Styela clava: one gene and its partner. The main gene of each other region encodes a partner of the protein of the gene in region 2 in a complex. Links are inferred from orthologs where the notes say so. Each region holds a gene or a part of one and is shown on either strand. Other genes may lie near its edges.

Evidence for each region.
Region 1: the proteins of cold shock domain-containing protein E1-like (region 2) and polyadenylate-binding protein 4-like are in contact, whole or in part, in a crystal structure (PDB 7ZHR), measured with the Drosophila melanogaster proteins. The link is inferred for Styela clava from reciprocal best matches to the Drosophila melanogaster genes Unr and pAbp. Residues at the interface, in NP_648226.2 of Drosophila melanogaster: Leu843, Glu844, Thr845, Thr846, His847, Asn848, Gly849, Val850, Glu870, Ile871, Leu872, Asp873, Glu874, Thr878, Val879, Ile880, Ser881, His883, Leu902, Ile907, Asp908; in NP_476667.1 of Drosophila melanogaster: Asn184, Tyr186, Lys188, Ser211, Lys213, Met215, Phe225, Phe227, Ala229, Tyr255, Ala257, Arg258, Ala259, Gln260, Lys261.

What each region holds. Positions count from the first base shown.
Region 1 is NC_135251.1:14,959,496-14,971,859, forward strand, and holds polyadenylate-binding protein 4-like, read right to left. Parts: upstream 6,442-12,364; 5' UTR 6,278-6,441; coding exon 4,295-6,277; 3' UTR 3,359-4,294; downstream 1-3,358.
Region 2 is NC_135255.1:1,851,266-1,864,100, reverse strand, and holds the start of cold shock domain-containing protein E1-like, read right to left. Parts: upstream 5,072-12,835; 5' UTR 4,818-5,071; intron 3,736-4,817; 5' UTR 3,605-3,735; intron 987-3,604; 5' UTR 969-986; coding exon 860-968; intron 273-859; coding exon 184-272; intron 1-183. UniProt on the Drosophila melanogaster protein: RNA-binding protein that acts as a regulator of dosage compensation in both males and females.

The DNA of each region.
Region 1 (12,364 bases), on a different chromosome or scaffold from region 2:
AAAACACGAGTTCGCAAATATTCCCCCATCGCTTGCTCTGCCATAGGCGCCAATGTCCACCGCAAGAAATTTATAACTGAAAAATATGAATTTCATTGAATTCTTGATGGCACTGTTTGGAATAAATGCCCATGTATAATCCACATAATATTGGGAAATAATTGGTTTCTAATTTATTTAGCCATTCATAGAAAGCAACCACAAGTGGTAAGTTACAAAAATTGTTTACCTATGAATACAAATTAGTGTGATACAAAATCAGGTTTAATATTTACCATGCATCAACGATAGCCAGGAGCACAATGCTATGCGTTTTTTTGTAATTGTAATACAACGATCCAGCATTGCTAGGACATTTAACAACAACATGCTTTCCATCAATAGCGCCCAAACAGTTTGGAAATTGCCATTTTTTGTGAAAAACATCGGCAACCTCAGTCCATTCGGAACAACTTGATGGGCATTTGAGGAAATCCCCTCTCAATGCATCCCATATTGCAGAACATGTTTCTGAGACAATGTTGCTCACAGTTGATATGCCAAGACGATAGCTGTTAGCTATAGTTCTATAGCTATCGCCAGTAGCTAAGAATCTGAAAAAATGAAAGATAAAGTAAAGCAATTGACACATTATGTAATAATAAATAACAAAATATGCTCATGTGTGAATGAATTTATAAATAATAGTCTATCATAAAATGGAAACATATTTTTATATGCGGCCAATGGCAAACACGAGTGCACATTATTATCAGATACAAGCTGATTACTGTGATGTTTATCCCTGGATATACAAATGTTTGTATTTGCTATCTGAATAAGTGTTTCTTAACCTGTTATATCATAGACATAAACTTCTGAATAGCTCATCCATATTTTTGGTTTCACAAAGTGATATAATGAACCGCTTTTGCTAACTTATCAGCTAATGTACCTCAATGTTACTGCAATTCTCTCTTCTGGTGGTATCGGCTTCCTGAATGCTGTAGCTTGTTTACTTATAACAGGCCCAACTAAAGTTATTAAAATTTGAAAGTCTTCGACTGACATGCGGAGGTAGGTCTCAAAATAGCTTCTCCTCTCCAATCTCATCTCTTTCAAAAGCCTGTGGTACTCGCCTGTTAACGTTACAATATTCAGATATTACCCGTTAAGGTACCGGTAATCATTCAATATGATATATATTTTCAAACCTCTCAAATACTACTTTTTGCACTAAAATGAGCTGTAGACTATCAGTAGAGGGTACCGTAATACTACAGTACTATGATAAGCACTGTCCAGACTGTCAGAACACCTTTCAGCTTTTTAACTACTGAACTAGATCAAATACCTGAATACTGGAATATGGCACCGGTCTAAAGGGCTAGTATGGTATGTTAACTGTTAAATCTAGAACCATGTAAGTAGCAAATTCTGTTTATTACAAACGGCTAGAAATACGGTGCAGTCGTATACGTACCGTACCGGTACCCAGGTACGGTACCGTACCGGTACTGGGGTACGGTAGGCCTACCTACTGCTGTACTGTGAAAATACTGCAATACTGGTACCGTACCTCTAGTCTCTCTTCTCTGCAAAATAGGATGCACCCACCACCTTCTTCTTTTGCATCTATTTTTTTTATCCTTGCGTCTTTTCAGCCACAACAGTAATCCCAATTTTTGATGTTTGCTCAAAGCCATCGCCAAACCACAGAACAAAGCACCGGAACTCAACTCAAATCTCAGACAACGCAGCGCGTCAACGCAAAGGAATGTTTCCTCGAGAATTCGTTGCGTTGACGCAGTGCGCCAAAATGATGCGTTAACGCAACAACGCAAGTTTACTTAAACAATTAAAGAATAACGCACTGGTGTGAACAGATGTGAATGGGCCCTTATTGAGTGAATCGAGGCGATTAAAAACTAATGCCCATAACTAAATGACGGTTTCCGTTACATTCTGCAAGACCCTTGGGGATTTACAGCATGGAATCAATAAACCGCTATAATATTCTCATCCCTATCGATTACTGGAGTCAAACGAGGTGTGGATGGCATTGTACATGCAAATACTCAAAAGCATGATGGTATTGATAGACAATTTTATATCCGAACTAAGCAAGCATGTTTTGAAAGCTTAGCACGAAACCCCAACCGCCACAACATGTTGCAATCAAACGTTAGCTTGATTAAACATTTTCCATTTGTGTAATTCTTACCTCTGCGACTATTTTTGCTATAAGATGAAACTCTCCGTTAATGTGCGATGAAAAAAGTTGAGAATCACAGCTCTAGGCGACTCTTGAGCAGTTTCATTCAATTCAACACCGACGCAAATATTCTCCGATGTATTATTTAAAACCATAGTCCAAGTCCATGCTTCCGAAAAAAACAAACAATACAGTAAAAAACTAATCCCATACCCGACTTGGAATGGTAACCGGACGAGAGGCCGTGGTTCGCCATATGGATAAGCCGTCTTATCGGCTTTCCTATCCCCGGGATAATTATGTAAATCCTATCCTATCCCTATGTTGTGTATTGTAGGTTATGGTTTTTATTCTACGTGTTTACAAAACGAAAAAAAAATAGAATATTTGAAGAAAGAAGAATTTAAAAAAAAAATAGAGTTTGGGTTATCAGAGTCATCTCCTGTCAATAAACCCACTGAATCCTGAACATTACTGAGAGTAGGTCTTCTTCCATGTTTGGAACGCAGCATGTAAAACGACTAAGCACTCACTGAACAGCTTCAGTAGGCTACAGAGCCAAGCAAACCTTCACAAAGCCAAAATATTTCAGTAGTATAAAATATCACATTTACTGGGAGTATGTATGGTCAAGCGTCTTTTCTTCAAAAACCAAACAACTTTTCGTGACAAGCAAATCTATTGTCAAACGTTTTGTTAATCGGCGATGAATAGTTACCATACGAAATTTGATTTTTAATATTGTTTCGCATAAAGCATTTATATCAGCGAGATCAATACAAGGAGCCATTTTGACCGCGCGTATCTTTAATACTTGGTTTCTCAAGATGACGCTAATACATGTATCATGATTGTAGCGTCAACAAACTACTTGACCCGAAAACGGTGACGATTAAGTTCTCGGAAATTTTATCAGTCAATAAGTATTTTGCAATAACTCATGCCCTACGGCTAGCAACATTAGATGATCCGAAAGTCTTATAATTGTCGGTTTCGAGTCTTCAAATGGCCGAAACAATCGATGGTAATTTTGTAAAACAAGATAAGGGCGCAACCAGTGTAAAACATCGCAAACGCAACTAAATTGGAAACTTGGTGAAATTTGCTGGTAGTTCCAAGTTACTACAATCTGAAGTCCCAACATAATTAAATGACACAATTAGATGCATGCTATTATCATTTTAATGAAATGTTACTAGACCAAAAAAAAGACACCACTGTGCAGTAATTTCAAATACCATATATATGAGCAAACAGTAAACCAATGATTTACAACAACATTGATGTATATTCTTGGCAAATGAGTGCTTTCAAGAAATCGTGGAAGTCAGCTATGAATAAACTACCTAAAAGACGTAGTCACTGAACAGTATTGTCGTTTCATTAACACCCTACTGTGTTAGTAGTTATAGTTGCATTAAATTATTCATAATTGACATCCAAATCTTAATTAATAGCCCACAAGAATAAAACGATAAAATTTGCACTTAGTGATCACCAGCTTACAAGCATGGATGTTTATTTACACAGAGTGGAGTGGCCGAAAAAGAAACAGTTTACTTTTCGTACTAAATTCGATCATTTTTCAATTTTTTTCTTGGTTTTTTAATTATTCTGGGTAAATTCAAACACACTCAATCCCCTGGTATTATTTGACAATCCTTTCATATACCAATCTGGGAGAAAGAGGGCTAAAACAACTTAAAAAAATTAGAGCAGTCCCTGAAAAGGACACACAGAACAAACAAGGTCATCAAAATCTCATCCAGAGATCTATTAATGTGTTTTGAGGGATGGTAAGAACTACTACTATTATCTTTGAGGTCAGTTTGGCAAACATGGAAAAAACAAGTCAGAGTTCCGAAAATTCAAGTTAAATGGTTGAAAACTGTCAAAAGTTGGTTTTTGAAATTTGTAATATTCTTGATATTTTTTTTATTTTATTTTTCAGTATTTTTTCACCTGGATTTAAGTCGTAAAACCAGGGGCTCAGTAATTTTTTTTTTTATTAGGATAATTTTTTGTGGGGCAAAAGTAGGATGATTTTTAAAAACGAAACAGTTCACACATAACACCGACGATTATTATCTTTCGAATTTGTTACTCTTGACCACCTACAGGAACCGGATTCTGAGCAGCGTTGTTAACCTGGTTGATTTGTTGTACACCGGTAATGCCTTGATTTTGAACAGGCTGAGAAGCAGGTTGTGCTTGTCGACTTGCTGCCTGCATCTTTGCTTGATGTGCCTGGAGAACAGCCACGGCCTCTTCCATCTTTGCTTTGAGAGAGTCTCTAGATTCCAACATGTGAAGCAATTCAGAATTGTCAATTTCCAACAACATTCCAGTAATCTTTGAAGCGAGAGTCGGGTGTTGTGCTTCGATGAGTGGGTAAAGACGTTCACCCAACATCTGCTTTTGCTCATGGGGTGGAGCAGATGCCAACATGCTTGCTGTAAGCGGCTCTTGACCTTGAACATGCACAGCAGGCTGTACTGTTTCAACTTGCTGTTGGACTTGGGCTTGTTGGTTGACACCACCAGCCATCGAAGCAGGGTTGCGGACACTTTGATTGTATTTGAAAGGTTGTCGATTTTGTTGCATGTATATTGGCTGTTGGCGGCTCTGTAGCATATCAATGCGATGTTGTTGTTGTTGCTGAAGACCATTCCTGGCTGAAACTGGGGCAGTCATTGGGCGAATAGCGGGCCCTCCACCATGTGGTGCACGAATGCTTCCAGGAATTTGGAATCCTGGCTGAGCAGTGGCAGCTTGCCATCTTGGTGTTGCCCTAATAAGCTGGTGACCCTGCATGTAGCGACTCTGACCATGAATTGGCATGAAGTATCCAGGAGCACCTGATTGGAATGACTGTCCTATCATTTGGTTTGGAGGAGCAACTCTCATTCCCATTGAATTGGAAACTCTCTGCATGTATTGAGCAGCCAAATGAGCTTTTCGGTCTTCTTTTCTTTGAGCTAAAGCTACGTAGAGTGGCTTACTCCCAACAATACGACCATTCATTTCTGTTACTGCTTTAGTTGCTTCATCTGGTGCACTGAAACAAACAAATCCAAATCCTTTAGAACGTTCGCCATCAGTCATAACTTTTGCACTAGTTATGGTTCCGAAGGATGCAAACGCTTCACGCAAACTATCATCTCTGATGGAATCATCAAGATTTTTTACATACAGGTTGACTCCTTGGTATCGCTGAATTTGCTCTTGCTTTTGTCTTTCATACCTCTGTCGAATTTCAGACATCCGTTCAGATTTTTTCTGGGCGCGACCTACGTAGATCTCTTGTCCACCAATTTCTTTTCCGTTCGTTTCAGCAACAGCCTTTGCAGCGTCATCGTGGTTTTCGAAAGCAACAAATCCGAATCCAAGGGATTTTCCTTCAGGATCTTGCATCACAGCAACACTCCGTAGAGGACCAAACTGTGAAAACATTTCCCTCATCTTTTCGTCATTTAGAGCATCGGCAAAATTTTTGATGTAGATATTAGTGAAATTTTTTTGTCTCTCGCCAATCAACTTGTGTCTTTCTGATCGTGAAATGAATTTTCCAACAAATACTTTCTTGTCATTCAGTAACATTCCATCTACTTTCTCTATCGCACGCTGTGCAGCTTCCTCGGTTTCGAAATGCACAAAACCATATCCTTTGGATCCATTCATGTCACACGAAACTTTGCATGACAAAATATTGCCAAACGCAGAGAAAGTATCATACAGAGCTTTATTGTCAATAGACTTGTCCAAATTTTTGATGAAAATGTTGCCAACACCAGATTTTCTCAGTCCTGGATCACGTTGACTCCACATGATGCGAATGGGTTGACCTTTGATGGGATCAAAGTTCATGGTGTCCAAAGCTCGTTCTGCATCAGCCGGCTGCTGAAAATTGACGTATGCGTAGCCAAGCGAACGTCTGGTGACCATGTCCCGACAGACGCGAATGGACAGCACTGGGCCAGCTTGAGAGAATTTCTCATAAAGCATAGCCTCCGTCGCGTCAGGATGAAGGTCACCAACATAAAGTGAAGCCATTGGGTAGCTGGTAGGTCCTGCGTTATTCATTTTCCTCTTTTTTGTCGATCGTCACAGATCTGATTTTAATTTTTTATATTTTTTTAGTGTTTTTGACACTTTTTTAAATTTTTTTGTAGGGTTTTTAGGATTTTTAACAAACAAATTGTGACCGGGAACCCAGTACACAATAGTTTCTGAAAAAATAAAATGCATGAAATATTCAATGAGTGTTCTTAACGAAGGGAATATGACCATAGATGAAAATATGTTTTTGCAGTATGCCAATTTCCAATGCAGAACATCATACCGCCTCATAACATTAGAAACAACTTCCACAACTATTTAGGACGTGAACATCCGTATTATGTCTGTAATTTATATTTCTGTGAATCCTCCCTCTCCTACAAGTATTCCCCTGGACATGTGGCAGACGGCGTCGGATAAATAGTATTTTTCTCATTCGGAACTGTACGTAAAGCGTGATAAACTCGTCATTATGCGATAATCTGACACAAGACACTAAGTACAACCTAAGGATTGAATCCGCAAATTCAATTCTCAACTGAACACAAGTGAATATTAAGTAAAAAAAGCGATGTGATAATATATATATATATACATAATATAGCGGGTAACAAATCGCAAAAATTTCGTGATTTTCGATCAGAAATGTGAAATTTTGCTAACGGCGATATCTTAAATATAGCGAAGATAAATTACGGAGATCGCAAAAATTAGAATCAATTCTAATTATAATGAAATGTACTGTTTATGTACGCAGATTGTAGTAATTCAGAGCAGTAATACTAATATTTTATCGAAGTCGGCACAACGTCGAGTTTCGTTGAATATGATTAAATTAATAAGGCAAAACACTTTTAATGCTTTCGGCCACGGACTGAATATTTGCGCAACAGAAAAAATCATTATCGCTGAAAAAAAACAATTATAACGAATGACGAAATCGCGCGACTGTTTCAATCAGGATTTCCTTTCCTGGTTTTGAATACAAAATAAAATTTAAGGAAAACATAGTTTGGTGCAAGTTATCTGGCATTTTGAACAAAGTAGAACTGCTGATTCTTTTTTTTTCAACATCTTATTTGGTAGAAAAGGTGTCATCAAATTTAGTACCGTAAAAGTGTCTAACTTCGGCCAAAATTATCATATTTTTGTCAATAATTCAACCATTCATTGTCAAAAAAATTGCTCGGTAAAGCATTCGTGAGGTAATTTACATTCTCTGCAAATTTCGGGTAAATTGGACTATTTTTACTCTTGAAATAATCTATTTTTCTTGCCATCTGAGCGTTATTCTTCACTGCCTAACTTCGGACAGTCATTTTCCTCACTGCGTAACCGCGACGCACAAAGAGAAAAAAAAAAGGCTCCTGATGCGGGTGACGTAGTCACGTCTCAACAGGCTTGTATTGTAAGTCTTTGAAATATTAATATTCTCAACGAATAGCTTTGTTGATGTTACGCTGTTATCTTTATTAGTGATAAATTTATATCACACACGTCGAACCCAATTGTAAAGTTTAATCTTCAACTTCATCTTGTTAACTTTGAGATATGTCTCTGGATTTATGTTAAAAATTAAATCAATTTTTCACTTTGAGTGAAGAAAATTTACCCAGGCTGTATTCAATCACTGCCATTTTGATTTCAATTCAACGAATAATTGTGAAATTAGTATACAGTGCAATATGGACGTTGGAATTTTTCTAGTTTTTCTGTTTTTATAAGTTATCCGATTTTGGACGCCGTCGATTAACATATTCTCATTAATGTGATTTTGGCATATATTCACACATGGATCGAACAAAATACAAAAATATTACATTGGAAAGCCGTCTTTGTCTAAACGAAAAATGTCAATTTGGCGCCATTATGTCAGTCGTCAAAATTCATTTCCGCAACTCAGTGTGATGTCGTCTCGGAATTGAGCGAATCAACTTTTGACGAAAAAATTATTATGTAACATTAAAAAAATTGAGAATAGATGTACATATAACAGCACCACCTATAATAATTATATAGGTTAGACATATAAAGTTAGACACTTTTACGGTAACTGATTAAAATGTACCGGTATTCAAATATTAATAAACTTTGTTGAAATTCATCCATCTTATTAAAAACATCATTCGCCATGATCAGTCTACTTCAGTATTGTTTAATTGATTTGCAATAGATTGAGAGATTAGTTTGTAACTTGATGTTTTGTTAAAATGTTGGGGAACCAGTTTCTATACCACGAAACGCCGTGACCATACGTCTTATCGTTTTGATGCAGCCATAATTCTGAAAAACATTGATCCTGTGTCATTTAGTTTCTGAACCCAGGAACCCATGGACTGACCTAGTCAAACAAACATAATTCAGTACCGTACCTTCAGACTATAGCTATAACAGTATAATCTATACTGCAATAAATTCAAGTTAGTCAAACATATCATTGGTTTTACGCTTTAGCCAAGCAACGGTACCGGTACCAGTACTTCAGTATTTTCCAACTTAGCTTGAATTCTGAAATTTTCATAATTATGGAAATACGGTAACGTTACCGGTACCTGAATACTGGAATGGACCAATCCCTAAAATCAATACGTTTTTATACGCCGTCGTAAGGGTATAACATACTGGAATAACCGTTTAGGCCTAATGCTCTGAGCTGAGCTAATTCCGACAGGAAATAAAGCATCACAATCTGTAACTGTTTTTTTTTTTTCAATTTTCGTAACGGTACCGTATTATTACGCTGGCTACCAGGTTATAACAGATTGTCGAAAACAGCTAAAGCAACGCATTTAAATGGTACCGTTATATCCTCTACCTCGAACATCCTGTATTTGAATTTTATAAAGCTCATAACAAAATTGCTTTCTGTAACACGGATTAACCTGGATAAAAAGAACGAAACGCAACAGATTGCGCCACACACCAGCTTTCTCTGTTTGCGTTTGTCACGTTTTTGGACGTCACTTCCTGTCGCCCATAAGTTTCTATTTGATGATATAGCTCTATTGCGCTCCTTGTGTTGGAAATAGAGAGAGACAGAGAGAGTTTATTTCATTTTGTCAAACCAAGAAAACAATTTATGCACACATAAACGAATATCAAAAAAATAGTTTTCGATATATGACTGGGGGGCAACGATACGACCTTTGGGGGTCATCAGGACAGAGCTTTGCAATTTGCATGTAACAAACTGGGTTACAAATATGCGCTTCAGAATGCTATTTATATATAAGCTTCAGAATGCTATTTATTCATCTTTCCGTATATCCAAAATCAAAATGCACATACATTCACATAAATGAAAGAGATAGAGAGTGAGATTTATTGCCACAAAAACAAAATGAAATAAATATAATGTTATCTTGCATTTATGGATGGGCGGACATGATGAGCATATGGGCGGACCAGACCAAACAATTACCAACTTTCATGACCTTTGACCGATGCTGCCAGCAACATATTTCGAGGGAACGCTCGTCTAACCACGCCATTACAAACTTCACGGGGTTGCTATATACCTGCTCCGAAAAGCTTTCTGTGTGTAAATGTTGCTTCAACAGTCTTTTTAATAATATAAATTTAATACTGACCAACTTTTGTTAAGTTGCATGTACAGTACCATCGTCTATTTGTCGGTTGAGTTGAGTACCGATACGGTATCGAACCTGGTAGTGGTGCACCCGTACCAGTACTGCAGTACCGTCAGAGGACCGGATATCGTGTTAAACTAGCCCACCGTGTACCTTAAAACACTAAAATATTACGAAAAACCTACTTTAGTGCAGCATTTCGCGGATCATTTACCGCCCAACCACATGCAAATACAAAGCAAAATCGCAGCGTTCCCCCCAAACAGTGGTTCTGGCAGCAGTCGTCACGCTCTGTTGAGCAGTATAAAAGTCGGTAATTCTTAGACTTCAGATGAGTTTCTGATGTGGAACAAGTAAGCTATGCTCAAATATATGAACACGTCACAAAGTACCGCTATTTTATTATTCTGACACATAAAAAACAAATCTCTAGTTAACAGAAATTTTTGAAATAAATAAAAGTAATAGCCTTCTGGTGAAAAAATCAATCTTTAACCAATGAAAATTCCAAAGCAATTGGTTCAGTAATCAAAGAGAAAAGCGTTTTTTGTAATCGTTAAAATTCTTAAAAAGAGTGCCAGCATAAAATGCAAAACGATCGTCATGTCCACTGACGTGTCAACAACAGCGTTTTTTTAGTTGACTAGTGAATTTTCATGACGAATTCAAAAAAATTGCTGAAATCAGATAAATTTGGTCTGTAAAGTCGCACAGTTTGGTGGAGTCATGTACACTAGGATAGGATTTACATATTTATCCCATGGGAGAGGAAAGCCGATAAGACGGCTTATCCATATGGCGAACCACGGCCTCTCGTCCGGTTACCATTCCAAGTCGGGTATGGGATTAGTTATATTGTTTGTTTTCGGAAGCATGGACTTGGTGGTGGAGGAAGCCGTAACCGACCAGCGGTTACGTGAACCACCCAACGACGGCGAGGAGTCCAGCAATCCTCTCGCACATAACCATCCCTGCATGGGATTCGAACCTGCGAACCCACGCAGAGTAAATAAAGGTGCGGTGGCGAGCGTATTCCTATCGTTTCGACCCGCACAGTTTGCTGAAGCTTTCATTGTTCTGCATTCAAAAGTCATTGCCCGATTTTATTACGTTCTTTAACTGTTTTTGGTGGACGGGCGCGTACCTGTACGTCTTTTAACTTTGTTTTTAAGTTATGCCTGTCCTCGGCATTTTTATCGTCCGTTGTTTATTGTATTTTTCTTTTGTTGCATAGATACCAAAATAAAATTGATTAATGGAAGCATAAATATGTTCCGACTCGTTACGGGCATCTCCACTGCCACTTTTGAAGATTTTTTACAAAATAGTTAAGACAAGAAGAAATTTTCCATTGCATAGGCCTATGTATATGTCAAAATGTTGCTACAAACTGAGCCCGATTTTGTATTTTACTTTAGTTGAAAATTTAAATAGACCTTCCTCTTACTGTCTATATGCTTCGCCTTGACTTAGGACAAAGCATACAGTATATAAAATATCGGAGAAATTCCGATTAACGAATTTATTACGCTAGTATATAGAATATTTGATAATGTGGCTCGGTCCAAAGCCTTTAGCCTGTTATTTTTCTGGAAGCATAGACCTTGATTTTATGAAAAACTGTAGCCAATGTAAACAATCCTGCAAAGTCAAAGCTTCCAGCAATACTTTCGCACCGCATTTACCCACACGTAATTCCAATGTTCGTGGCGAGAAAGCTTCCTTCTCAGCAGACAGATTTGTATTGAATCATATGATGAAAATATCTGCTTCATTATTATATTAAAGTCCTACACAATGGCAACTACCGAAAGTCTGTTGCCGCAAAGTAGAATAATCCCCAAAATATTATATACTGTATATTTCAACAAGAATCGTTTATTGCAAAACACCATTGTCGCAGAAGTTTTATTCTGTATACTGGCAATTACTGATATATATATATATCTTATATTTCTACGTGCTACTATTTGTAGTTGAACCGCTAAATATATCGCAAAACTGCTATTTTATACTTAAAATTTAAAGACAATCTTAAAATACACACGTGTAGAAGAAAAACAAAAATAGGAAAAAAGAAAACGGAGATTAAAAGGCAATTAAAACAAAAAGTTGTGTCATAACACACCAATATTATATGTGTGAGTCTAAACATTCATAAAACGCTCTGAAGTATATTGGAAAATAAAAACGACCCACACAATTTTCATTCCTACATTTTATTATTCTGGGCTGTTATTTGATTCTATGGAAGAGGGACGGGCGACATTGGATGACTTCCCCGACAATATTACCCGTAGTGAATACAGTCCAAAAAAGAAAAAATGGCCGATAATGCATCCTAACGTACATGCAGCAACTCCTATACCAGCAGCTAAGCCGGGATTATTCGCCCAATCGAGAATCGAATAAACAGCTGATGTGACCCCAGCGAAATGGAAAATTAACGTTGCTGAGACGTAGGCGACAGCAAAAGTAAATGGATACACTACGTGGAAAAGTCGCATTGGAAACGCTACTA
Region 2 (12,835 bases):
TAATTGAACCCTACCTCAAAACAGGAAATCGTTTTTTCCTCCTACATAAATTCACAGGGGTAACACTGATTAACCCAAAATAAATTATTCATAGCAATTATTGAATCTCGAATAAACCTGTAGGCATTTGCTGATAAAGCTTTCTATGTCAAATAAGTATAAAACTTGGTTATTATAAAAAACCTGAAGTTGTTTTTCTTTTATTTCATTTCTGCTATTGATTCCTCCTGTGATCAAAGCCTTCTGCTGTGTAGTTAGAGCAATACTTCCGGCTAAAATAGATTTGTGAATGGTTTAATTGTTCATTCATTTGTATCATTGAGACTTCCTATGATTTCTTCCCAACAAGAAAAATTCAGTTTGAAATACAAAGCTACAAAACAGAATGATCCAAGTTTTTCAGTTTGTCACAGCTATCGTATCGATACAGAGACATTGGTTTCAAGTCAAGTCAATTTTTTCTCAACCAGTAAAATCAACAACAATCGAGCACAAATTACGAGAAAATGATAAGTACACTACACATTTTTACTGGAGAAGGGAAATCGCGGGGAACCAAAGCTGGTTATCGAGCAGCGACACCTGAGGTTCAAATTTCTAATTTAAGAAAAATTGAAATTTTGTTTGGAGTTTGGAATCCACCGTCTTTGACGCTGTCTTTCAATATTATCAGTGAACGGCAAAAGTAACCTACAGTATGTTACTGGCTACGCTTGTACAGGTTTGACTACCAGTACAGAGTTTGTTTGATTTATAGAATGTCACTAAGTTCATATTTTATGTAAGAATCATGATTATCAAAGCACAGAATAACTTTATCTTATGTAACTTTGGTAAATGCAATTCAAATAAGTGAAACCTGAACTTCCAAAATTTGATCGGACTGATTGATTATTGGGAAATTGTCCATCTGGCCATCTTCCGAGTGGTGTGATGGGTGAGGGTTGGTTCGTGTTCATCCACATCATTGGAGGCTTTGGAAATGTCTGTAAAAATAATTCATTTCAAAATAATTTTCAATGTTCATATTTTTAACAAAATTATCAGATAATTGAGTTTTGAAGAAACATAATTTTAGATATATAATCCTCATTATGATGAGTGACAGCAAATCAAATCTGTATTAAAAAAGTTCAAAACAAAAAGACTGCAACAAGATTATTATTGTTAAAATAAATATTTTTTAAAGATGACTTTACATGAAAATGTAATAAAAATTCTGAACAAATATTATCTTTGACAGCATTCAGGGAAAATTAAACTTTGCAGATATATTTATCACAATAACATAATTTAGAATGTCAGAACACTATGATCCAGCCAAATTTAGAGTGTAATGTTTAGAAGTATGGAGTATGAAGTATGTGTGTTGCTACTTATTGTTTTTCATATTCTCAATGTCAAAGTTTATTATTATTATTTGGTACATTATCAGCATAAAAACTAATGCTCATTGTACCAATGCAAAAATTTCGTTGAAGCAGCGAGAGTTATACAGCGATCTCATTTATAGATATCTTAAAGACTATATTTCAACATATAGACATCATTCTATTCTATGTATTTATATTTAAACACAACATGGGTTCAGATGAGTCGTAACCCCCCGTTTGAGAAAAATTTTTGATATGAAATTTCATCTACAAAAAAACAAAAGCGTCGCTTTACGATCCTGCATCAGGGTTTCGCGGTCAAGACAATACTATTCTGTGCGTTATCACTGTAACGCAATTAACACCGCCGTACTTTTTTTGTCTTCACGATAAGTTATCTTTTTATTCGGCGCTGATAATGATAAAGAAGAATTTGTAATTGTTGATTGCAATTCCGGAAGGCGTATTTTCCTTTCGCTCCATGAAACAGACATGAAACTAATTTTGCCGACGATTATGACAAAATTATGAGATAAACATGCCTCATTGTCACGGAGTTTTCAGTCTTCTGGTAAAATCCCAAAAAAAACAATATATTTATTTTCACGACGATCGTTTCGGCGGCCGACATTTCATTTAATGTTGTTCAAAATGACAATACTCATTATTCGATGTTCGTTAAAAACAATCGAATAACTCAATTCAAAAAATAAGATCACCCGCCACTAATCACGGCGCAATTAAATAATCATTGAATGGCAACAGAAAATCAACTCAATTACCGGTAACTATAAATTCCATGTAACAGTTTCACATTTCGTGCATTTGATCAGCGCTACATACGAGAGTTTTTTTGTACATATAAACCATTATGATACTACTGACATCTGCAAGTTATAGCTCTCTCTAAAATTAATTTTCGCAATTTCAAATGTTTTATTTCTAAATGTGGGTACCCACTGACTACGGATTAATGGCCAATGTTTGAAACAGGACTGCAAAATATTCACCAAACACCGCCAGGCAAAGAGAGGGGGGCTATACGTAACTGTGGTGTGGAATTTCGCCGTGATCCGTGAATGACCATATATTTTAGTTTATTAAACGCATTACGTCGTCGTGAATTGTACTTTTGGTGAAATGTTTTAGTTTCACCATAATCCCTCCGTCGGAAAGGTCCTGGCTGCGCCCTTGAAAAATATTAAATAGTTGATTGATAATCTAGATCATCACTGTATAATGTCTATATTTCTAATTTGAACATGACATGACTAAAAGATTTTATAGCATATTCGGCTCTATGAACTCCTATCGCATAAAATTTTATCATTGTTTCAAGAACTATCCATCCATACATGCTATTAGATCATGACAATCTAATCCACATACGTACTTATGGTACATAATATGGATGTTATAAATATCTCGTTACAAAAAGTACCAACAGTTAGTTCACCACAAAAGATGATCTTTCATCCATTAGTGAATCCAATGAGTTTGAAGAAAGAAACATTATGACAGCGTATACAAACTGGTATGTTATAATGGTAATGCTAACAAAGCCTTTTATATGCTGGGTTGTATAAGGCAATGTTATATGGTAAACAAAACTAGATTACTAATCAATCCGTATTGTTTAGTACACTTATGTGCAGTACACCAATAAAAGATAACACTGACACAACATATTTTTCAAGAGCGAAAACAGAATGTATTGACACTACACAAAGAAATAGGAGCGTTCGCAGACAGATGCTCAGATTTCAAAATTGAGGATGAAACTGTAAAGAAAACATTGCATGGTCAGGAATTCTGGTTAGTCAAGCAGAACCCTATTCATATTGTCTTTTTTAGCTCATAGGCAATTTTTATAAATAGGTGTGCCATGCTAGATTGCTGCTGAATGTCAAAACTTTGTGATTTACCAACAAAATATTTAAGTGGATGTCTAATATTAAGTTAGTGAAGCAATGATTTGTAGTATCCTTCGATAATTTCACTGGTTTATATCTAGAAATTTGAGGAAGAAGCTGAGGCCAACAGTGGAACCAGACCACCTGAGATAATAAAAATTTCAGCAGTTGTCTGTGTATGATCCTTCAACATGGTATTGAATCTAAGTCAAATGAGCAAGATAATTTTCAGGATGGGCAAGCTATGAGTAGAATGAATAAAAATTGACACAGGATGTGGATAACATGTATAGACTGCTTTTAGCATACTTGACATACCTTAAAAAATTGCCAACACAATCAAAATGTAAAAATGTTGAATGTAATGTTAGTTTGCTGGTAAATTCTTCTGCTGCAACTTGCTTGTTAGTTCTTGTAAATTTCCATATGTTGTATTAGTTGAAAAAAATCTGCAGAGAATTGTCAGATTGTGGTGAAAAGATTGAACTAGTTCAATTTAAACAAAACACAAACAATTTATGGCCTGTATGGGCCACATTTCAAAATTTCAATGATTCTCACTACAGCAATACCAGACTATGCCAAGTGGTAGGGTCAGCAGTGGCAGTGAAGTCTGGAAGTGGTCCATGGGTCTCGTGTAGTTTCGTACCTAACGTACTTTTAATAGGCGTAGCATAACAATTTTTTGATATGTCAATCCTAACCCCCATTCGACTACGCCATCCAAAAATTATGTCATTACGACATCACAATCCCATCATAGTACTTGCCAAATATACGTCCGATCGTCCGAAATGGCATCAGCGATGACGATAAAGAACTGAATAACTTCATCGATCTCTCTCCTATTGGGATCATAGCGTCGAGAAAACGAGAGAAACAGCAGTTCGATTTCGGGTGGTCGTCTGCGCATCTTGGATGGCAGTTCGTACCGGTATAGTTCAATAGTATGAAAGGCTCCATTACCTCACTGCTGCACTGTGACGTCGTAGTGACGTAATTTTTGGATGGCGTAATAAGGTGGGGGTTAGGATTGACATGTGAAAAAAATGTTATGCTACGCCCACTAGAAGTATGTTACTGTGTTAGGTCTGTAGGTACGAAACTACATGCAGACATAACCTGTAGTCCCTTTCAAACTCCAACATTCTGACATTTTAGCTCTGTACGGTACCGGTACAGCGGTACCGTACCTTCAGAACTTAGATTCCATGTTACAGAATCTTACATGTTTCAAGAACATTAACAATTCATACAGTTGAGTCAGACACACAACTCAGCAAATGGACACTCAGACTACAGGGGTCTCATGTAGTTTCGTACGGTACCTGATGTACTTCTAGTACATGTAGTAGGCGTAGCATACGGTAACAATTTTTTCACGTGTTAATCCTAATCTTGTAATCCCCACTTGACCACAGCACTTTGTTTCAGGTTTAATACAAGAGGGACAAAGTTTAACAAACCATTACTATTGTGGACTAACGTTAAAACTTCTATATCGTAAACCTACACGTAAATTAGTGCTCACCTTTATTTAGACGTCAATTAAATTATCCCGAGACCCAATTTCCCCACGCCAATCCCGACGCTGCCCAGGCCGATCTCTCTTTCTTCCCAGCAGGTACGTAACGTAAGGAGAAAATGTCGGACGATTGCAACGCTGGATGGCGACTCTGCGTTGCAATATTTATGGCGAGAGGTAACTTGAAAGGAATTTCTTCATCTTATAAATATTGTTTACAAAATCGTAAAATGCATTCGACATTGACAACCCAAAAATTTAGACTACGGTAATATCAGGTCATTCAAAACTTTACTCCTATGATGTAACAATTGACTTTACGCCTAATGACGACACAACTGATGAGTTATTGTTTTCTTTATTACATAATAGTGTTGAAAAGTACGGAGGTTAATGGCTGAAAAAAAACACTACAAATAGGCCGGCCTATATTTTCAATCATCTTAGAATCACAAAAACAACCAAAAAGACTTTCGGTAATATCTATGTTGATTCTTCGACTTCAGTATTAGGCCGCGAGCCGAGGCCATTTATCTTTCAGTTTCGTAGCGCACATCAGGTAACTACCTGAAAATGATTTTAAAATGTTCCTTAGAAATTTAGTAACAAATATTGCCTTGTTCCCACTTCCAAAAGTTGCACGTTTTACAGAAAAGACGCTTTTACTGCAATAAATATGTGTTACCATCTGTCCTATTTTCTCTGCTTTTCCGGTATCATGGGCCAATGAACGCAGACTTCTGCACGACGTAACAGTCAAGTTAGTCAGCTGTAGGTGGATCCCCAGTGGTCGGATGAATATCAGATGTACTCAACTGCTCGCTTTTGCGTTGAGAGAGAGAGAGTTTATTTCATTTTGTCAAACCAAGAAAACAATTTATGCACACATAAACAAATATAAAAAAAAATAGTTTTCGGTATATGACTGGGGGGCAACGATACGACCTTTGGGGGTCATCAGAGTCAGTTGCCACCCAATTATATTAAATAAGCATAAAAAAAACAGGTTCGTGTCAATATTTCAATGTCTCTCACGATTTATACTATGTACAATATTTACATGAATTTACTATTCTTAATTATGGAAGCATTCTTTTAAATAATAGGATTTTGCACAAATTGAAATTATATTGCAAAATATAAAATGATCAAAACGAAAAAAAGTGGGAAAGCAGGTCAGACAAGCTACCCCTTATTTGGGTAACTTGTTTTATTGACTGAATTTAAGTTAAACATAACAAGTGGGATTTTGAACAAGCGAATATGGGTAGAGTTCTATTCTACACACACTAGTGCAATGTAATCAGATGCATGGGTTGAGTCATCAAAACAAATTAGAATTTGGTTTAAACAACAAAAAAATGCATTTTAAAAATGCAATACATTGTAAACTTTGTATAAACAAACAATCGATATTAAAATATCAAGAAAGTTAATGCAAAAACAAAACAGTTGACTTAATGTAGGAATAAATAAGATTCAATATTTCATAACACTATGTGAAATGATTCAGAACACTTTAAAAATAAACATCAAATATTAGTGTTTGTACATAGAAATAGAACAATTCATAAATCAAGGCCATTTATCCAGATTTTTACACTAATTGGTAGTAAATGGATTAATTTATCATAGATTAGCCAGGGATCTCAATAGGAAAGTATTGAGATATCGTTGGTAGGTCAAAGGTTGATGAAAAAGAGCTAATAACTTAGCATATTAACTTCATAAGATAGAAAAATTGAGTGGAACATTTTATTACACAAGTAGTTGAGTAGCCTTTCCATAGTTTTTTTCAGTTACCGGTAATATTAGTCCAGTTATTCTAAGGAGGTGTTGAAAAGTATAGGTAAGATATTAAACACTTGTATATCCTTGCCATAAATAGCAATTTTAGTTGAGCACTAGCTCATAAGACGTTGTTAAATAGGTACGGTGCGGTAACTCCAAGGAAGGCTAGACCTAGAATAATACTGTAATATGTCACAAACAACGATATTTTCTGGCTTGCATGAAATGTTTATGATTAATTTAATGACTCTTCTTGACTATTCAGCAGACTTATACTACTATATAGGCCACAGCATATTTGGAAATAGAAATGAATGGCTGTTTCTGTAATGCACGGTTGTGTGAAAGAGAAGAAATTAATCAATTTTACTAATGTCGGTTGGTCTAAATCTAAATTCATAGAGTCGACAAGAACCTGGGAAGCAATGATAAGTTATGCCGGAGTGGAAAGAAAGGTAGCATTGGAAATGATTGAGAGGTGAGAAATGAAGTTGTAGACAAACAGTTGATGTTTCAAAATATAGTCTATAGTCCATACTCATACTGTCATAGGACATTTCAGACTGTGATATACCGGTATCAAAATTTAGTGTAGATATAGTCTAGTAATGGTATGCAAACACTGCTGGACTGTAGAACATGCAATGAGCATATATACGCTCATTTAGTACATCAGATAAAATGCATTATGTATTCAAGGTATTAGTTAGTATTTAGGGGTATTTTTAAAATCATGCTGCTCCAAATATTATTTTCTTCCTTATTTTAGATACTGTACTACAAAAGAAAACGGCAATGTTCCACCAATCCGACCTAACGCAGGCTCTGATCCCTGCTGCTATCAGTGCTATAAAATGGATTAAACAAGAAGTCTTGAAGCTTAAAGGTATATGAGAATCATAATAGTTGCAAACAGCTTAGATGGGCTATTCATATTGAAATACTTTAGCACTTTTCTGCAATTGGAACTGCCCATCAAATTCATGTTGGAGACTTCATTGAGATTTTCAATTCATTTTTTTCCCTCGACTATGAAGATCTTTTGAGGTTAACGAGGTATTAATAAATAAAGCTGAGGAATTTGAAGAGGATATGAAGAATGTAAATGATACGGTACCAGGGCACGTCTATTTAACACTGTCAAACATAAGGATTATACTCTCCACCCAACAATGATTCACTGAAGAAGCATGTTGCCCTCAAATCAGTTCTTGAGTTGGCAAACTGCAAAGAAAAATAGTCAAAATAATTTATGAAAGTGTGCCAAAATCAACTTAAATTGCACAGATTTTTGTTTTTGTATTGACTGCAGAAATCACAGTACACCTATAGAGGAAAAGTCGATTTTTGAGCTAGTGGATTTCGAAAACAATTCAGAAGAAAGTGAATTAGATATTACAGTTGATTTAATAAGTATCATACATTTGTTTTTTTTTTCGGACATTTGTTAGTGTCGTAGTCCTGTTTCTAGAAATATTATTGCCTTTGTTCAAATACATAACCACATAAACTAAAAAAAGATTAATTGTAAATTGTAATATTTCTGTTCACTATGTTATGTACATATTGTACATTCATTTAATTTTCTTGATTTTTGCGGTAAATTTCTAAGTGAGAAATAACTGATTTATTTGTGTTTTCGTGCTCACGATGTTAATTTGTGACTTCATTGCTTAAAAATAAATACGTTTGATACTTGATAGCTTCTATAAAATGGATGTAGCTTTTTATGCTGTTCTTGTTGTAAAATGCTTGGGGTTATTACATAAAATTCATTCTCAAATGTGAATCAGCGTTGTTGGTGTCGCTGCTTTCGAGGTCACTCCCGACTCCTGTCACACAATTAAAGTATTTTTTGTTGTTGGTTACATGTATGCCATATTTTTCGTAATCTACCTAATAAATTATGATTGACTGAGGAAGTCCGATTTTGGTCAGGCAAAACATTACAGGAATACATTTGTGTTAGTGTGCTGTAGGGCTCTCGAATTGTATAGTTCTTATGTATGCGTTGTAAACTTATGGTTATTGAATTTCCGGGAACCTCTTATATTCAATTTCGCACCAGGATTGTGGAACAAGCTGTAATGCGTTCATTATGTTCGTTTTCCCACAAAACTGAAGAATTTATTTAGTTACCAGATGTGCGCTACGAAACTCATTTTCTGGGCGTTTTCATGGTTTCGTCTCACGGCCCATATCCGTGGTAAGGATCTACAAGTGTTTAATAATTTACTTATACATTTTTCAACAACGTCTTAGCATAACTTAACTAATAATAACTAAACAGGGCTGTGGAAAGCCTGCCCAACTCAGCGCAAGGTCGAGCAGAAATAACTAATATTCATCCGCTCGCTAACAGCTGGTTTAATTCAATTGTTACGTCATGCAGAAGTCATTGTTCAGTGCCGAAAATGTAGAGAATATAGGACAGATCGTAGCACATATTTCTTGTAGTAAAAGCGTCTTTTCCGTAAAACGTGCAACTTTTGGAAGTGGGAACAAGGCAATATTTGTTACTAAATTTTTAAGGAACATTTTAAAATCATTTTCAGGTAGTTACCTGATGTGCGCTACGAAACTCACTTTCTAGGCGTTTTTCAGGGCCTCGGCTCGCGGCCTATATGTTCCTCAGTTTTTCATTTTTGGAGGAATGATATTTCCAAATTTTGGGTGTGTAGAGATTTTGACATACAACGCTTTGTAAATAATATTAATAATAAGCACGAATCACGTGGTACTTGTCCCACGAATATTTAGAAAAAATTATAGTTGAAATCAATGAGGGAAAAAATATTTTGAACAACAACAACACAAATACTTCCCTTACTCCCATGTTACCGTGTTTTCCCAAAAATAAGACCTACCCAGAAAATAAGACCTAGCCTGAATTTTATGAATGGTTTTAATATAAGCCCTTCCCATAAAATAAGACATAGTCAATTTTTTTTTTACCTAGTCGATAGCAAGAAATGTCTCTTACAAGTTTTAAACGATTAATCTAAAACGCATGAAAGAGGAAAACGTGTTATTTATAAGTAAACTGGTATCGGTTTTCATATTTATATATTTGAAAATCTCGTAATTTGCTACTTTGTAATTTTGTTTTTGAAAAATGAAAGTATAAGACATCCCCCGAATATAATCCCTAATGGTATTTTCAAAGGAAAATCGTAACTAAGACCCGGTCTTATTTTCGGGGAAACACAGCAGTTAATTTACGTTCAACTCCTGTGTGTATGAGAGAACCATTGAGTTGTGTTCGAATATTAAAAAAAGACTAAACTTTTATAAATAGAATGCTAATGATTTAAACAAGAACAAAATGAAATTTGAATTCTGGGCCTAATATTTGGAACTTTGGTCAGATATTATTACCATGTTTCCTCGAAAATAAAACCGACCCTGAAAATAAGACCTAGCCTGAATTTTAAAACTGATTTAATATGAGCCCTCCCTTTAAAATAAGACCTAGTCAAATCGCGATTTTTTTTTGACGTAAGTCATTCAACGATTCATATAACACGCTATCAAAATAATCGATGGATGTTTTGAAAACGTTTTACACACAGTAGGCCTACGCCCTACGGCCACAAACGATCGGCATATTAGAAAGAAAATAGTTTCCATTCTACTTTTTCCATTAGCAAAATCGAAGTACAACACACTTTTTTGAAACTATTATGTAGGCGAAATCGTACGGAGTAGCCTATGAAGAAAATTTGTCCGCTCGTTCCATACAGAAACGATGACTCTTATGCGTAGCCACAGCCCACCCCACCAATTGATTTTCAACATTTTTTTTATGCAATTTCGCGACATTTACAGTGAGTCATAAATTTTTATGTCTTTTCCAACATCATTTTACTTTCTATTCTTGAGCGATTCACTAAAAAACTGACTTTTTCAGTCTTCCTGGCAAAAATCCTTTCACCAAATGAACAAACCAAGAATTGCGCACTTGTAGGCCTATATCTTGAATAACTTCGACGGCGAAGTAAGACTCTTAAAAGATTCTTCAAGATATTGTGAGCCAAAAGCCATCATCGTATCACGTCATTATACAAAAATAAAATTGTGCTGGGTACGTTCTGGCTCTTATGATTACTCATAAAGAAAGAGTACACACAGCTATTGTGAAAAATACAGGCACAACAATCGCAGTAGCTAAAATTTCCCTGAGCCAGTATTGATCGATGGACCATGAATGGATTGCAGACATGCTTTGAATACGAAACAAAAATCCCGTTTTATACATTTCGAACTCGTACGCATTGTAGAATGAAAATGATGCATAGGAGGATGGTGAAGAGTAAAAATAAAAGCTGAATGTCAAAAAAATGGAACAATGAGAATTTTTTATTATCACCCATGACCAGGGGCGGATTAAGCACATTTGGTGCCCTAAGCACTGAAGACTTTGGTGTCCCTTTATGTGTAATTTAATAAGTGTATTTGACGATTAAAAAAAATCACAACCAGCAGTAAATAAAACAACTTTTGCGAACATTTTTAGATTTTTTCCATATTTAGCAGATATATATATATCGGCCGTTTACTGCCGATATGATATATATATATATCGGCAAACACGCAATATCGGGCCGATATATCCGTTGAGCTCTAATCCTGAGGGAGTGTGACAATAAAGATCCATGCCTCCGGTCTCAACGTGAATCGAAATACCAAAGCATACAAGTCACAACTGTAGTTTGAAATTTTACCGGTTCCTAGTAATCTACCTCAGAGTGGTTCAAGGTTGCTAGGTTGAAGGACTGCAAAAACTTTTGAGGAGGTCTCGCGAGCCGCAAGTCGGAGAAAACTCAAAAGTGATGGAAATATCGCAAGTTTACTTACTTTAAATTCAATAAACAACGAGAGTTTACCGTTCTAATCATTTAATTAGTAGCTTAGTGCCATCGTCAAACACCAACGAAGTCCGTCTAATCTATTCAATTAAAGAGTCCAGCTGCACACTAACACAAATGTATTTCTGTAACGTTTCGTCCGACCAGAGTCAGACTTCCTCAGACAAGCAGTTTACAACAATGGCAAGAAAGAAAATTTGCTAAATTGATTTAGCAAATTTTCTTTCTTGCCATTGTTGTAAACTGCTTGTCTGAGGAAGTCTGACTCTGGTCGGACGAAACGTTACAGAAATACATTTGTGTTAGTGTGCAGCTGGACTCTTTAATTGAATAGAATAGTCATGTTTATTCCAGCTACAGTATCCTTGCAGTATACGCATACGGATCCACTAGCATAAAGGCATAGGGAAAAGATAGGATGTTAGTCTCGCGCAACCCAACTCAAATTGAAGTCCGTCTAAGTTGGTATTTCGGGACCTAGCTAAAAAAAATTGATTGGGCGGCGTTAAGTCGGTTCTGCGTTTCGTCACTACTGTCACATGGCCGACGCTTGAAAACAGAGAAGTGTTTTTACTAAAATAAAGTCACAAAGCGTTAGAAAAAGGATTTGAATCTCGGGATCCCAACCCCAGTTGGAATAGCTGAAAAAAACTCAAAAAAGTTCTTCTATTAGATACAAATATACGCTAAAATTGTTCTGTGAGCCGCACGGAATGTATTAGCATGACAGGGTTTGGACCACCCTGGTTTATTTAAAACTCCCGGTTTCGCTGACCACTAGATCGTTCAAATGCGATCGTGGAACCGCCACATAGTGCAAATAGTTCATTGGTCCAATTGTTGGAGAAAAAAGAAATTATTTTAAAACAAAAATGCAGTAAGAAGGAGAATACTAGGAAGGAAAAACAACAAAAATCAATAAACTATATAAAATTCTTCTCTAAAATTTCTGTGGTTTGCCCTTTTGCTTGGTGCCCTAAGCACGTGCTTATATTGTTTATTAGTTAATCCGGCGCTGCCTGTGACAGCGTTTCCCAAAGAGTGCGCCGCGAGTTGCGCAGTTTTCATGAATGACCTTTTTATTCAGTTGAATTAAGAGGCCATTAGATGTGTTGCAAATAACAATATTGTCAATCATATTGTTGTGTTGATGACATGCATGTGCTGCATTTCCCCTTCTGCCAAATGCCTTCAACGCTTACTCAACATATGTGAAAGATATTCTACTGAACATAACATTTTGTACAACTCTAAAAAATCTGTTTTCATGTGTATTCAGAGTAAGATGTTTTAGGTTGGGTAATTAACCTGATATCAATCTTTGTAATTCTGTATTTGCATATGTTTCGTCCACTAAATATCTTG